Caenorhabditis elegans: one gene and its partner. The protein of the gene in region 2 interacts with the protein of the main gene of each other region in a pairwise test. Each region holds a gene or a part of one and is shown on either strand. Other genes may lie near its edges.

Region 1 (9,132 bases), on a different chromosome or scaffold from region 2:
TTTCATAAACAATTAAATCGATTTAACCTTTAATTATATATTCTGGGACGGAATCCAGATGTTTTTTTTAGATTAAAATCTAAATTTTTAAGCCACGTTCAGCCAAGGCCTGAATATATTTTTTGTTTTTTTTGGCTGAAAACTAATGTTTTTACCTTTCCAATGATGAGAAAAATGAACTAACATCGTGAAACTCTTAAAATGTTGATAATGCAACAGTAAAGTTTATTTTGGCTAAATCTTGAGAAGATAAAAAATTAGTGATTGAATTTTCCTTATATTTTTAAAAAATAAATGTCGTGTTTCCGGAACTAAGCATATTTGCAAAAATGTGGTTGGAATTCATGTATTATCTTACTGTAAAGTTATAACTTCCCAGACAAAAAAATAAACAAAATAATCTTTTGAAAACTTGCGTGCATATAAGACGCAATACCTATTTTTTCTCAAAAATAAATTCCTGTTAAACCATATTGTCTAACATTACAGATTACATTACAGACCATTGCCAAACACATCCGCTCTTATTTTTATAAATATGAAATCTGCACTGCAACTTTTTTCGAACGAGGGACGAGGCAAAAAGGTTTCTAGGCTATGGCCGAGTCCCTGACAAATTTCAGCGGCCATTTATCTTGCTTTGTTTTCTGCGTGTTTTCTTTCGTTTTTCACCGATTTTTCCCGTTTTTTCTTATCAAAACTAATAAATAAATATTTTTTGCAGATGCTAAACCAATTTTCAAGTGAAAAAATTGTGAATTCAGTCGGCAAGTAGCGGTAAAAATGGTCAATGTAATATGATGGATTACGGGAATAAAAAACCCAAACTTTTTCCCAAACATGATACATATGCTGTTTAGATGCTAAAAGTACCTGATTTTCATAACGAGACCGCTGAAAAAGTTTTGAGGTTTTCAAAATTCAACTTTTTTGGTGTAGAGATTTTCACAAAAAAAGTTGAATTTTGAAAATCTCAAAACTTTTTCAGCGGTCTCGTTATGATAATCAGGTACTTTCAGCATCTAAACATCATATGTATCATGTTTGGGAAAAAGTTTGGGTTTTTTATTCCCGTAATCCATCATATTACATTGACCACTTTTACCGCTACTTGCCGACTGAATTCACAATTTTTTTCATCTGGAAATTATTTTAGCATTAACAAAAATATTTATTTATCAGTTTTAATAAGAAAACACGGGAAAAATCGGTGAAAAACACAAGAAAACAAAGCAAGTACAAAATGTCGTAAAATGCGGTGTATTGTGTGCAAACACCGATTTTTCGCATTTTTTCTCGGCCCTCGTTCGAAAAAAGTTGCAGTGATCTGGCATATCATTCAATACTGAATCAAAATAATGCACATCTTAAGTGATGTTAATGAAACAGTCAAAAATTTGAATTCTCAAAATCAGATCAACTTTTAATTTTTCGCTTTCAACGCCCATAAAAACTTTATGTTTCCCTGTTTCAAATAACGTTAAAGTATTTTCAACTTTTTCCGTATTCTATTCTGTACGGCCAGATCAAATCCCATGTTCAAACTTCAATACATGTAAAAAATTCTCGCTGTTAATATAATTTTATTTCAAATCCACAAAAAGAAAAAAAACCAATTAACCAACAGTAACAATAGGATCTGTATAAAACTGTGCTCCTCTCTTCGTCGTCAACTTGTCCGCCATCTGAGAAGCCAACATCTTCCACTGGCTCTCATAAATTGCAGAAATCGCGGTCACTTGAACGGTCAAAGGGACAACAAACGGACTTTTCGCGTATTTTCCATCGGTTCCAGCCTTCGCTGCACACTTATAGTAGACTGTGGATTGTTGTAGAACACCGTAACCCGCGGTGTCGGCGGTGCACTCGGTTACTGTAGTAAGTGTGACGTTTGGAGGCGAGAATGTGATGACTGGTGGGTTTATGTCGTTTAGGGGGATACTGTTGGCTTGCAATACGTCGTTGATCTGAATTTTTTGAATTTTTAAACTTTTTTGGTATTGTATAGTGTTTTTAGTGTTTTAGCGCTCTACTTGGTTCCATTATTATACAAGTTTTGAGCAGATAATTTTTTTTGGTTCGTATGGACAAATTTTAGCAAGCTCTCCGAAATATAATCTGGTAAATGAAATATTTGAAACAGTTTTTTTTTGATAATGGGTATAAATACTTTGTGGCTTATTTTGAAACTTAATGTTTCAGACTTATTTATCTTTAAAAAAGAATTCAAAAGATCGACAAACGAATTAATTTTATACAACCTGAAAAATGAAATATTTGAAACAGTTTTTTTTTATTGATAATGGGTATAAATATCAGGTTGTCCCATAAGTTTTTGTACTATTTTTTTTTTTGAAAAAAATTTATTTCTCTCAAGCGACAAGTAGTACTATTCACACAAGTATTCACCATTAGTGTCCACCACTTGTTGCCATTTACTAGGTAACATCATGATGCCACGGGAGAAGAAATCCGGCGAACGCGATGAGAAGAAAGTGGAGAGTTCAGTTTTGAGATGCTCTTCGTCGTCGAATTGCTTGTCGCGCATGTAGTCACTGAGAGACAAGAACAAATGGTAGTCGGTTGGTGCAAGATCTGGAGAATATGGTGGATGCGGTAAAACAGTCCAACCAAGATCTTGCAGCTTTTGGAAAGTCTTCTTGGCGACATGAGGCATAGCATTATCGTGAAGAAAATATAGTTTTTCATATTTTCCGTTGGTCTTTTCTGCAACTCGGTCCAATTGGGCACAATAGTAATCAGCAGTGATAGTTTTATTAGTTGGCAACAATTCCCAGTGCACGGGTCCTTGAACACCCCACCAGACACAGATCATTATCTTTTTTGGGTGAAGATCAGGCTTTGGCGTCGGTATTCCTTTCTCACCGATCGGAAGCCATTGACGTTTTCTGGAATGGTTAACATAGAGCACCCACTTCTCATCTCCAGTAACCAGATTGTTCAGCCAATCGAACTTTCGACGAAAAGTTAGAAGTTGAGTACAAACGTTGACCCGAGTGAGCTTCTGTGATGCCGAAAGTTCATGAGGCACCCAAATTCCAAGTTTTGAAGTAAAACCAAGGCGACCCAAGTGACGTGCAATTGTGCTATGACAACACTCAAGCTTCTCTTCCATTTCACGAAGACTAAGACGAGGCTCTTCCTCCACCAGCTTCACTAGGTCTTCTTCATTTAACTCTACCGGTCGCCCAGAACGTTCTATTTCTTCGAGACTGAAGTCGCCGTTCTTGAACTTTTGAAACCAACTCTTTGCTGTATTATAAGAGAGTGCTCCCTCACCCATCGCACCGCATATGTTTCGTTCCGCTTTCATTGCTGAATGACCAAGACGAAATTCATAAAGAAGAAGCAATCTAACGTCTCGACGTTCAAGTTTGATGATTGTCATCGTGGCAAAGTAGAAATGGATGAAATGAATCTTTTCTGGAAGGGGACGACCCGACCTTGACACGACCTACGATGAAAAAATTTTAAAACTTTCTAGAAGTTTTGGAAAAATATTTGAAAAAAAGTACAAAAACTTATGGGACAACCTGATACTTTGTGGTTTATTTCAAAAATTAATGTTTCAGATTGTTATCTCTAAAAAAAATAATTCAAAAGTGATAACAAAATAGATTTAGTGGTAGGTAGACACATCTCTAGGCTCTTCTCTTTCAGCATACTTTTTTCAGTCATTTCTCCGCTCAAAATGTGCGAACAACACAGCCATTTGCGGTAACGAAAACACCCCAACCAGCTCTCCGAAACCGGGCTGCGATGTCCGAGCGGTTAAGGAGTTGGACTTGAAATCCAATGGGCATTGCCCGCGTAGGTTCAAATCCTGCTCGCAGCGAATACTTTTTGGAAAATATTCCGAATTAAATCTACAGGCTTTTAAATAAATTTTTTAACTCATTGACCGCGCACCTAGTATGTCGCTTTTGAGTGATTTATCAGTTTCTAGGAGAGAACAGAATTATTTCGATTATTTGCAATTGGCTATATCAGTATAGTGAAACAGTGAGAATTTTTTGTGTTAACACAATGAAAATAGAAAGATTGTAATATAATCATGCATTTGTACTATAGAATATAACATGTTTCTACAAAATAAATTTTCAATAAAACGTAAAAATTTTATTTGTAAAAAAGTATGTTTTATAATATTCTTATTAGCTCACTGTTATCTTACTAGGGAGTGTTTCAACTCTACGGTGCCTAAAAAGTTATTATTATTGTTTTCGTCAAAAAAAAAATTGCCTCCGAATTTTATGGCCCACTTATGGGTTTTTTTTCAATTATTGTAGAGATTGGAATATGCTATACTTTTCTTTAAAAGTGGCAAAAACGTAGTAATTGGCACTTTTCGAAAAAAAAAAGAAAATTTCAATAAAATTTTTAATGTTTCAAAAGTATTTCATTAAACTTTTTATGAATCGCTTTTTATTGAATAGGCTGGCTTGATGGAAATTAAGAAAATATATGGCTTTTCATCAAAACTAGACTAGAATTTATAAAGCTTCTGAGAATTTCAAATTTTTTTCAAATAATAATGCAACCGTTAAACATTATGCGATGTGTTGCCATTTCACATTCTTTTATAAATTTGGCAAAATTATCCACCACCATAGTTGGACATTTAATAATTGGACTTTTAATAAATGCAATTATACGAACTCCAAAGAAAACTGTAGCTGTTCATAAAAATTTTGTGAAACAGTAGAAATTTTTTCTGTATTGGGATTTTTATTTAAAATTGCATTTAACTCACCGCACTCTGCACATCCGACACCACAACTCGCTGAGCATAGGCTTGATCAAACTGTCCGTTTTCAAATTCTGCTAGAGAATCATAGGTGTATAGAGCAGGAGGGTTCATTTCATAGCTGAATGTTCCCTTGGAGCCCAGCGTTCCGGTACCCGGAGCACAGGCTCCGGCTGTGGAGATGAAAAAGCAGAGGAGCAGTAGAATTTTAAGCATTTTGAAGGTTCAAATCACAAAAGTTAAAAGTGAAGTTTAAACCTTACCTCAATCCTTTTTTATACCGTTTCCTTAACCTTTGCCCCACAATAGCTTATGTTTGTTTCGATTTGCCAAAAATGTTTATATTTGTCATAGTTATGGCATCATTTTATTACTGATTGTTAACACTTTTTCTTGTGGGTGGGTGTGCCAACAGTAAGAATAGGTAAAGCATACTAAGCGGGGGTAAAAGGGAACTCGTAAAAATTTGAAACCCAAAGATCGAAAAATTGTCAAACAGCCGTTACTAAAATTTGTTTGAAGGCTGAAACTGAATTTTTTTTTTGTTGCAAATTTTGAAGATTTTGTTCCTGGATTCGATTTGAAAACTTTAAATACAATGAAAATCCAAAAATAGGTGGAGCCTATTATTGATTATACTTTTATCGGAAGCTTCTGGTTTAATTTTAAATTGTTTTACACGTTTGAAAGCGGATCACTATCAGAAATAGATCAAAATGTGATGAAAAGTTTTATACGCACGCGGTGAAACGGTAAATTTCGAAATTCAGATTTTTCGATTTCTTATCAATTTTTAAAGTCATTGATGGAGGAGTAGCGCCAGTGGGGATATCATTTAAAAAAACACTCCAAAAAACTCAAATTTTTTACAACTTCCAGTCAAAGTTTTGGCAAAAAAAATTGTAGGAAGTTTTTTTTTGATCGACTTATAAAATTATGAGTGGCAAAATTTGAGTAATAGTCACTTTTTACAGTGAATTTTTAAAAATCCAATTTTTTTTCAAAAAGTTTTACCTTTAAAAAAATGTAGATGCTTTCTTTTAAACCATTGTGTTACTATTAGATTTTTTTCCTATAACAAGACAGTTTTCTGTAAAAACCACCATAGTCACTATTCCAACTTAAGAGGTTTTGCTTACATTTGACTACTTCTGGCAGATATTAATTTCCTGGTTACGTTTCAATTTTTTTAATTACCAAAATACAATTTGAGCGTATGAATAAAACCCAATTTACAAAGAGTATAATAAAAGCATGTTGAAACAATAAAAATTTTAGAAAATTTTTTTTTTCCGAAAAGCGCCAATTATTAAGTTTTTGCCACTTTTAAAGAAAACTATCCCTAAAATAATTGAATATTACCGTTTGAAACATAAAATTCGGAGGAAAACATTTTTTTTTCAACGATTTCCAAATAAGTGCCTAACAGAATGGTTGCCATTTTTGAAATAAAATAAACAACATTTTCAAAAAAAGTTTTGAATAGTTTTACTTTTTTTGAATTTAATGTTTTAAATTAATTGTTTTGAATCATATCATTGAAATTTTAAGATCTTTCTCATGAAAAAGTTCTGAAATAATAACTAAAATATCAGTGACGCAATATAAATATTGTGAAACATAATTTTTATAAGTACAATTTTTCTGTAGAATTGTTGTATTCCATAGTACAAATCATGATTATATTTGCCTTACAACCATTCTCGCTACATTGTGTTAACACAAAAAATTTCTGACTGTGTCACTATGCTGATATAGGCAACTGCAAATAATCTGAATGGACACGATTTAAAAATATTTTTTATTTAAAACAATTTCAAATAACTGATAAATCGATTTAACGCAATAGGTTAATGTTCGGTGCGGTCACTACTCCAACTTAAGAGATTTTGCCCAAATTTGATTATTAGGTCGTTCAATAAGTTTTTTCGTTTTTTTCTAGTTTTGGTTTTTTCTTGGATAATATTTTGCGGTTGTATAGAAGACTGTTAGTAATAACAAGCCCAACAATATCAGCCATATCGGTCAACTTCCAGATTATTTAAAACTCAGAACTATGATGACGAAAAAAAAATTTTTTTTCGAATTTTTTCATTTCTTTGTGAAATCAAAAACTTTGTATGCGTAGAGGTATAAGACAGTTAGTTAAACAAAACTAAAACATTTCAGAACCAGGCATAGCTTATTGGTAGCGCTACATCTGTTGGAAGTGTCGAAAACGCTTGCAAAATTGACTTTTTCATGTTTGAGCGGTGCTAACTTTTAAACCATGAGAGATATACAAAAGTAATGTATCACAGCATTAATGTACACATCATCAGCTACATTTTATCAGTATGTTACATTGTTGTCCCTCCTCACGTTTCTGAGTTACAGTCGATAGAAATGAGCTTGGTCCAATTTTCAAAAAACCCTAATTTTTCACGTTTTCGCCTGTAACTCCGAAATCAGGTGCCTGATTAAAAAACTTCAAATTAAAAATAAAGTGATTTTAAATTATAATCAGGTACACAGTTGACCGTTTTGTCATATCATATGTGGGCAAAGATATGAACGGTCAACAAACAAAAAATGCATGATCGAAAAAATATAGAAAAATATTGCAAAAAACTGTTTTACTCTTTCCGAAAAGAACATGAGCGTTTAAAAACACATTTAATATTTTGATTACTAATTAGGCTATCATAATCAAAAAACAGTTAGAGGTTATCTTGTAAAAAAAACTGTTGGATTTTTTTTCGATGTTTTTTTTTGAAAATTTTCTAAAATTTCCGCAACTTTTCTTTGACAATTCATATCTTTGCCCACATATGAGATATGACAAAACGGTCAACTGTGAACCCGATTATAATTTAAAATCACTTAATTTTTAATTTGAAGTTTTTAATTAGACGCCTGATTTCGGAGTTACAGGCGAAAACGTGAAAATTAGGGTTTTTTGAAAATTGGACCAAGCTCACTTCTATCAACTGTAACTCAGAAACGTGAGGAGGGACAACAATGTAACATACTGATAAAATGTAGCTGATGATGTGTACATTAATGTTGTAATACATTACTTTTGTATATCTCTCATGGTTTAAAAGTTAGCACTGCTTAAACATAAAAAAGTCAATTTTGCAAGCGTTTTAGGCACTTTAAACAGATGTAGCGCTACCAATAAGCTATGCCTGAGTCTGAAATTTTTCAGTTTTGTTTAACTAACTGTCTTATACCTCTACGCATACAAAGTATTTGATTTCACAAAGAAATGAAAAAATTCGAAAAAAAATTTTTTTTTTTCGTCATCATAGTTCTGAGTTTTAAATAATCTGGAAGTTGACCGATATGGCTGATATTGTTGGGCTTGTCATTACTAACAGTCTTCTGTACAACCGCAAAATAATATCCAAGAAAAAACCAAAACTAGAAAAAAACGAAAAAACTTATTGAACGACCTAATAATTATGCCAGATATTAATTTCCTGGTTTTGTTTCTACTCATGATACAAAATATTATCAACAAAAGATAAAGGGTACATCCAAAAATCAAAAGATCGAAATATTGCCAAACAACCGTTACAAAAATTTGTTTGAAAAGATTTTTTCACAGAACATTCGATTGGAAAACTTCAAAAACAAAGAAAGCCCAGAAAAAGGCGGAGCCTATTATCAATTTTATTTTTAAAGGAAGCTTTCAAATTAATTTTTATATGTTGCTAATGTATGCAAAAAGATCATTGACGAAATCGGAAGAAAATTTTTATACACACGCGGTCAAACAGTGAATTTCTCGACAAATTTAATCACCAATTTTCAACGTAATTAATTAATTTTTAAAAAGTTAATAACACGAAAAACACACAATTAACCAAATAAAAGTTGCATTCCAATTTTTTTTTGGTCGGAAAATGAAAAAAAAAGTGATTAAAGTTGCAGTAGCGCCAGTGAAGAAATCATTTTAAAAAACTCTGAAAAAATTCAATTTTTTCAGAACTTCCAGTCAAAGTTTTGGTAAAATGCCAAATTTTTGAAAAAATATGCGTTTTGGGGAGATCCAAAATTTTTCGACCCCCAGAAAGTATCAATACAAAATTAAGGTATGCAAAAATCGTAGGAAAATTTTTTTTGGTCGACTTCCAAATCATTATTTTTATGTAACAAGACGTCTTCTGTATATTACCAACAAAAGATAAAGAGTATAATAAAAAAATGTTGAAACATTCAGAATTCAATTGTGACGCCTTTGGTCCCAAAATGACCAAACATCATAGTGAACCTTTTAAAAAACAATATTTAACTTTTTTGCCACTTTTTGAGAAGACTTTGTGTAGTATGATCGAATCCCTATAACAGTTGAATGTAACTATTTGAAACAGCAGTAG
Region 2 (7,321 bases):
CCACGTAAACTGAAATCTGATACTACATAACCTTAAACTTCAAACTCAGAATTTCTCCCGGACCTTCGGACCGCTACCAAGAAGAATATGAGTATTTTCCTGTCTACAATCAGCTTAAAGAGCTTATCCAAGAACTGCAAGTTGGAATAGAGCCCGTGTAGGAACAACGTTTCCATATTTACAAATTTCTCGAACATTTTTCAGAGAAGCCGAACCTGTCAAACAAGCCGATATTGACAAAAAAGTGCTGCGTGGATATATTTTGTTTGAATGCTTACAGGGAAATTCAACTTTTGAGGCTTATGAGAAACTATGTGATACTGTTGGAAAAAATGTAGTCAAGTACTGGGAGTTTGAACATTGGTATCAGAAGATTGAAGCAGGGGATTCCAGTATGGAATCTGACATTGAGTAAGTTTTACTTTTGAATTATATACATTAGGAAGCTATAGTTAATTTCACAGTGCTCGCTATATGCTAATTTTTCATATTTCAGTTTTGGTAAAGAGATCCGATCACTGTCCACAATGCCTAAAGACATAGCTGGGGAAATAATGAACAAACTGGGATTAAAAGAAAAGTGTGCTTGATATCAATGTGTAAATTTATCAAAAAAAACTTTTCAGACTAGTGATGCGAAAAGTCTCTAAAAATCTTCGCCACTTCATGGACAACCTGAGCATTGACGTTGAGAAAATTAGTCTGAAAATCTACAATACAAAATCAATTTTGCAATTTGATGAAAACGAAATAATCTATCTGGACAGGAAGGACAACTGTAACGTGTTATATGATGATCAAGAAAAGCTTGTGAAAAGTGGAAACTATGCAATAACAGCTTTGAATGATTGGTCCGTGGTCATGAAAAATAAAAAGCTTAAGCTGAAAGTGTTCCAATTATTCATATCAGTCGAAAAGAGCGACCATCAGAAAATCTATAAAACTATGAACACGGTTTTGAGAAATTCAAACTGTTCATACATAGAGAAGATCACACTAGAGGGATTTTCATTCAGTGAAGTTGCTAAGATACTTCGGAATTTTAAATCAGGAATACTGCAAGAGATTGTGCTGGGCTCGCCAACTGATAACGCCGATATTGAGAAGTTGGTTGATATGAGACAATGGAAAGAGGCAAAAAATTTTGAAAGCAGTCGGAACTGTATTATGACGATTCCAATTGAGAATTTGTTTCACTTCTCGAGATTTGATGTTTCCCTGAAATCTCTATCAAAGTCAGATGCAATATTGATCCGAGAGGTGAGCAAATATCAACTATAGCATTTTTATTCAAAGAATTATTATAGAAACTGCTGAAGTCCAGTGATTTTGAACATGGATGCTTCCGAATGTTCAATTATGATCCTATAGACATTTTGAACGTGTTTGAGCAGAATTATTCAGGAGGATCGTCTGGTTCGATTACATACAGGAATGAGGAGTCGGAGTTCAGAATTCAATTTGATACAATGAACTTTGAAACTATTAGAATTTCTTGAATATATCTATTCGAAAACTTTTTTCTCAATTTAAGCATGGTTCCATAATAAATTTGTTGGGCGGTTATGAAATTTGTTGTCGTAAAATTGATTTAAGATGGTTGTGGAAGAGTATTAGTCACGTACATCAAAATTGATAAGACCCTGCTGGTCTCATAAAAAGGCCTGTAACCCTCTTTTCATTCAGTTTTTTTTTCAATCAACAACTAACGATGAGCAGCGAAGAGCAAGATGTCAAAATTGTTACTTCTGATGATGTAGAGTTCATTGTAGGTTTTATTGACTTACTATTAGTACAGAGATTTAATTTTTTGCGTCAGGTTTCTCCGAAAATTGCCAATCAATCCAAGCTTCTCGCTGATTTTGTTGTATTGAATCAGCGCGAACCAATTCCATTGAAAAATGTCACCTCTGAGATTTTCAAGAAAGTTATCGAATGGTGTGAGTATCATGCTGAAGATATCCCCAAACCGCCAGACAATGTGGAAGAAAAGCGAACGGACGATATTGGTGAATGGGATGTCGAGTTTCTTAAAGTTGACAAAGGTACTTTGTTCGAATTGGTGCTGGTAAGTAGTCAACTTTCAAGGGGTTATTCAAGTAATGTTGCAAAATTTATGTGAATACAGTTGTTACATAATTTATACATTTTTTTAAAATTTTCCCAGCCTATTTGAATAACCCCATAAAATGCATTTCTGTAATCGTCACCTTCTTTCAGGCAGCCACTTATTTGGATATCAAAGGTCTTTTTAATGTTACTTGTAAAAGTATTGCCAACTCTATTAAAGGAAAATCTCCTGAAGAAATTCGTGCCGTTTTCAACTTGGGTAACGAAACTAATATGGAATAACTTCAAGACCAAATTTGCCCCGTCAATGTTAAAAGTAGCATTTTTTTAAATGTTTTCCTCTGTTATCTTTTTTCTAACGAACAGTTTTTCGAAATCTGCCTATTATAAAACAATCGTGTATTGAAAAAAAATGAATCGTTAAAAATGAAAAATTGAAGAAAGTGAGGTAGAATTAACAATACTGTGAAGACACTCAATATTGCTATGAAACAAAATGATAAAACTGAACATCAGTTGAATAGGGAGTTAAAATAGGAAATAAAATAGTTACTCAATTTCCTGCTTGACGTGCTTCTCTGGAATCATCTTGCTCTCGACGGCTGGCCCTTCTGCTTTGACCTGAAAAATTATTGATTTAAATTTTATTTTTATCCACGGATTACTCTACTGCTTACCTTCTGTGATTTCTTGATGCGTTGGAGTGTGTCAGCAAGAGTATTAGCACTTTCGATGATTTTGACCCAAGTGTCGACTTCAGTGATCTGCTGATAAGTGAAGAACTTGCTCTGTAGAATAGTGTCGACTGCGTTGTCAAAGAGCACCTTGCGCTCGGCTTCTTCTTCAGTTGGTGGAGGCGATCCGGAGGCATCACGGGAAGAGATGGATGTGGAGACGGAAGATGACGGCGACAACGAACCTCCCATGGGACGTTTGCGACCGGTTTTCACCACTGGTGGAGTTCCTTGGATTGTCGACTGAATAAGTGATCCTGGTGCATTAATGGACTTGGCGATTGGAATGGTGTCTCCTGGAGCTCCAGTTCCCTGAATGCACTTTGTGTGCTCCGTGAGTTGTCTCTTGCTGGCGAAAGTCCAATTGCAACAGCCACAAGTGAACACTTGAGCCAGGTTGTGCTCATTTCTCATGTGCTCACGGATAGTCTCTTTTTGGTTAAGAGCCCGCTCGCACATCATACAAGTGTGCTCGTTGCTGTGCATCAGCTGACGATGACGGTTCAGGGAGGCACTGTGTTGGAAGTTTTGGGAGCAGGAGGAGCAGACGAATTTGCCTGGAATATAGATTAATTGCAGCTTCCAATACAAGGCAAGGCTGTGCGGCATTTTTTTTGTTGGAAAATGAGCAAAACCGGCTCATTTCAACATGATAATCCAATTTTTGTGATCTAATATTGGGTTTTCTATCTGAAAATAAATTTCTTGTTTGTTGCAAAATGCGAAAAAGACCTTTAATAGTGCTTGAAAGTTGCAGTTTCCCGAAAGGGCGCCGTGAAACGTTTTTTTGGTAAACGGCTAGTTTCAGGCACTATTTGAGAACTTTTTCAAGCTTTTTAACAAAAATAAAAAATATTTTCTGATAGAACAACCCGTTTTCTACATTTATACATTAATTTTCGATTTAAAAAGTTGTTGAAACAAGCCAGTTTTGCGCATTTGCAAAAAAAGTTACAAAAAATAATTTTTTAAAAACTAACCTCTGAGATCTGGTCTCTTGAGCTCGGTGTCCTCCTTGCGGGTGACTGGACTGTGAATAGACGTCATGTTTAGATGAGAGTAGATTTGTCGAATGACTAACTAACTGACTGGTTAGCTGTAAAAGGACAGGCAAACGCTGCACCAAACTAATCGATAACGCGGGATGTGTTGTTCGCGTTGTGGAGAAGGGGAGAGGGGAAGAAGTAATGTTGCGGGGGGAGAGTAGGTCAAATTCAGAAAGAAGAGTCATTGATCTCACGAATTGAGGAGGCAATGCTGTGGGAAGTTGGGAGGTCAAATGCAGAAAATGATCTACCAAGTAACGCCAGAGAAAAATAACAAAATAACGGTGTATTTTTAAAACATTTTTATTCAAATTTGATAGTCATAATCATAACCGAGAAAATTTAAACTGGGAATTTTTAAATTCAATCTGAAAATATTCAATAGAGAAATGAGATCTTTCAATTAGAAACCGCCATTTTTTGCTACTCAGCTTGCCGTTCACATACTTGATCTCATCGCAAGTTCCCAATACCTCATGAGCCTGATCTTCATTGTTTTGGTCTGAACTGACAAAGTTTTGAAAATTCAATGTGAGAGACTTTGGATTTTGGTTGTGTATGAAGTGCTGAAAAAGGTAGGGAGATAGAATTGGTCTTGTGGGGATTCTGATGTGTTTCTAATGGGCTAAACTTCGGGCCCGGTACTAGATTTATTCCAAAAAAAAAATGTTACTCGGTTTTGGCTTTAACCTTTGTCTTGTTGAATATCTGATCAGAATTTGGGTTCAATTGGGTCCTATGGATACTTGCGCAGGCTTCAATGATATGAACTTTTACTCTTATAAATTAAGATCTCTGTGGAGTCGCTAAACTCTGAAAACGTCGGACGCTGTGTAAGATGACTCGCACCCACATAAGTATCATTGAACCTATAGGGATTTCAAGACTGTTTTGGATAAAAACGTCGCACTTAAGAGCCGGCAGACACAGAAACTTACATCTTTCAACAGAACCAGGTCGTCACTAGTAATTGTATGTAGTGTCGTTATCGCTTCATCAAAGCGCAAAAAATCCCGAATCGACATTGTCACTTCAATGCCATCCATTTTTATTCGTCTTGCACTTTTCCATTGCTCCATGTTTACCAATTGCTCACAATCGACTCTAGCTCCTTCATCTGAAGAGCTCAGGACTATAGTTACCAGGAATCTCGGGTCAAGGCATGACATGATAGTTGACAGGTGATTGTTCAATGGTTCCTTCCATAGTATTACATCAAAAGCTGCTACTTTCAGAAGAAACTTTCGTGATTTGAGCATTTCTCCAAAGTTGTAAAGGAATAGCTCATGAGTTCTCAGAATGTTCTCCTTTATTTCCTCGGCGCCCTGGCCCGAGTATATTGATAAAACCGAGATACGCTGCGGCCAAGACTCTAGTATAATTTCCAAATGAGCTACTGAAGTCTCAAAAAACTCCCGGCCATCTGCAAGTTCCTCAATATCATCCCACTTGATGAAGCATCCATTTGGAGTTCCTCTACTGATTAGTTCAGCAAAAGTTATGCCAGTGGCTTTTGCATAGAAGGAAATTTTAATTTCATTTTGTTCTATTTTAATGAGTAGAGATACATCTCTGGCGGTTTGTAGTTTGGATAGTATGGCAGATAATATTTGCGATAGTTGTGAAGACGGTCTGTATACTTGCAGAAGTTATAAGTAAAACTGCACAGCGACCTAGCGCACGAATTTTCAGCCAATGAGAATCTGAAGTGTGCAGTGGGGCGCGCTTGCATTCTGCATCAAAAGTGAAACTTTGACAGTGTTTATTTCCTGTTTTTCATCGATAATTTTGGGTGAATAAGGAAATATTTATCAGAAAAACACATTCCAGTAGATTTATTAAATATATCGTTGTAATTTTCAGTTCAAAAAATACAAAGAACGCATATTTCGCTTTTTTCCTAGTAAACAACAAAAAACTGATGGCAGGGTGTTTATCGGAAATAAAACAAACATTATGGATCTTCTATTTTGTAAAATGCATCATAATACTTTCAAATCATGGTAATTTTTAGATTTCACAGAAAAATATTGCTCTATTTCAATGTTTATCCTACTAAATTTTTCTCAAAATGTGTCCAATTGCTGTTATTTTTGTCCTTTTGCTATGAAAATTGAATTTTTAGATTGTACAGTACTGAAAATGAGAAATAATTGAAAATAAAAACGAAAGTAGGGTTTTTCAAATTTGTGCCTGTTTTAGACCATTATGCTTGAAGTAATCAATAAATTTTCTCAGAATATTTAATAAACTACTTTAAACGTTATTATCAGAAACCGCACACTCCTCACAGCTTGTTTTTTTAAAAACTAAAATTCAAGATTTTGGTGAATATTTACATCAAGACTTTCTTCATTTTTTGGGAAAATGCCTAAGGCTCCGTCAATACTGGCCGGATTTTCAAAATTATTTTTTAAATTGATATTTTAAATATTTATCATTCCAAAATTGCCTGCAAAACGAAGTTAAATTTCTTTTTCTTTCAAAGACACGAGGTTCTGACTCGACCCCGCGCTCCATTGGACACTGAAATGGCGGGAAATTTTTTTTGAAATCGCAAGAGGAATTTTCACGCAGCGCGTTGAAAAAGTGTATGCATTTGCGCGTGACGGTGTTTGCACAAAATACACCGAGGGGTCGAGCCAGAACCCCGTGCAAAGATAGTCCATAGAAAACAACTGATTGATAGTTTCAACGGTAAAAAATGAACAATGCAAGTTCGCCCCATTGCGAACTTTCAAAATTATTTTGTTCGCGATTCTTGCTCTAGGTCGCTGTGAACTGTAAACAACTTACATTTCACTAGCCATCTTTTGATATGAACTCTCTCCGTACTATGTGCAAAAAAAATAAAGTAAGCTTTCAAAAACAAATTTAGTACTCCACTTTCAAAGTGTCCACTGTTCTAGTCTTCTGCGCTTCCATGATAAGAAAACTATTTTGCACATGCGATTGTCATACATTGATTTACATCCAACATAATTCAGTTATCAACAGTGATTATGTACGTGCCATGCCGTACTCGTATCAGTTTTTTACCTTCTTTGCGTAAACAGCAGCGTTTATATTTCTCATTCTTAAATTTCGTTCAGTCCGAAATTTCATTTGACTGACAAGAGTATCAATTTTATGTACTACGCAGTATACCTGGCCCAAAATTTTTATATTTTTTATAATTTTACTTGATTATTTTATTTTAAATGGAAAACGTTTTGGAAATTTTGTTTGACCAGGCTTACTACATATGCATTTAATTTTATTCAGCTATTATTGGAACTACCGTAAGGCAACTTGGAAACATCTGCAAGAAGCATGTCACAGGATGAGTAAGTTATTGTTTAATACCAATAAAACACACCTAAAATACTTCTTTCTCAGTCTTGTCGTTAACCGGTCCCAAATCCTACAATCTTCAATAGACCAATTCGATGCGTCCCAATTTGTAGATGTTCGATTGGAAATTGGAGAAGA

Evidence for each region. The genes of interacting proteins can lie anywhere in the genome.
Region 1: the proteins of lsy-27 (region 2) and Y51H4A.8 interact in a two-hybrid assay, tested with the Caenorhabditis elegans proteins (one large-scale study listed by BioGRID).

Annotation. Positions count from the first base shown.
Region 1 is NC_003282.8:16,573,532-16,582,663, forward strand, and holds Y51H4A.8 (DUF4136 domain-containing protein), read right to left. Parts: upstream 5,019-9,132; 5' UTR 4,985-5,018; coding exon 4,775-4,984; intron 4,679-4,774; exon of another isoform or gene 4,658-4,678; intron 4,472-4,657; exon of another isoform or gene 4,450-4,471; intron 4,227-4,449; exon of another isoform or gene 4,203-4,226; intron 3,980-4,202; exon of another isoform or gene 3,958-3,979; intron 3,857-3,957; exon of another isoform or gene 3,775-3,856; intron 2,242-3,774; exon of another isoform or gene 2,221-2,241; intron 2,098-2,220; exon of another isoform or gene 2,077-2,097; intron 1,968-2,076; coding exon 1,617-1,967; 3' UTR 1,563-1,616; downstream 1-1,562.
Region 2 is NC_003283.11:17,346,211-17,353,531, forward strand, and holds lsy-27 (Zinc finger protein lsy-27), read right to left. Parts: upstream 3,984-7,321; 5' UTR 3,852-3,983; coding exon 3,785-3,851; intron 3,362-3,784; coding exon 2,748-3,361; intron 2,692-2,747; coding exon 2,620-2,691; 3' UTR 2,455-2,619; downstream 1-2,454. Other genes in the region: fbxa-189 (F-box domain-containing protein), read left to right, coding at 1-4, 50-157, 205-411, 497-580, 627-1,260, 1,308-1,499; skr-5 (Skp1-related protein), read left to right, coding at 1,712-1,768, 1,820-2,068, 2,221-2,352; fbxa-134 (DUF38 domain-containing protein), read right to left, coding at 4,177-4,416, 4,789-5,482, 6,647-6,660; F47H4.2 (DUF38 domain-containing protein), read left to right, coding at 7,163-7,176, 7,229-7,321. UniProt on the Caenorhabditis elegans protein: Involved in regulating left/right asymmetric differentiation of the gustatory ASE neurons. Plays a role in modulating expression of LIM/homeobox protein lim-6.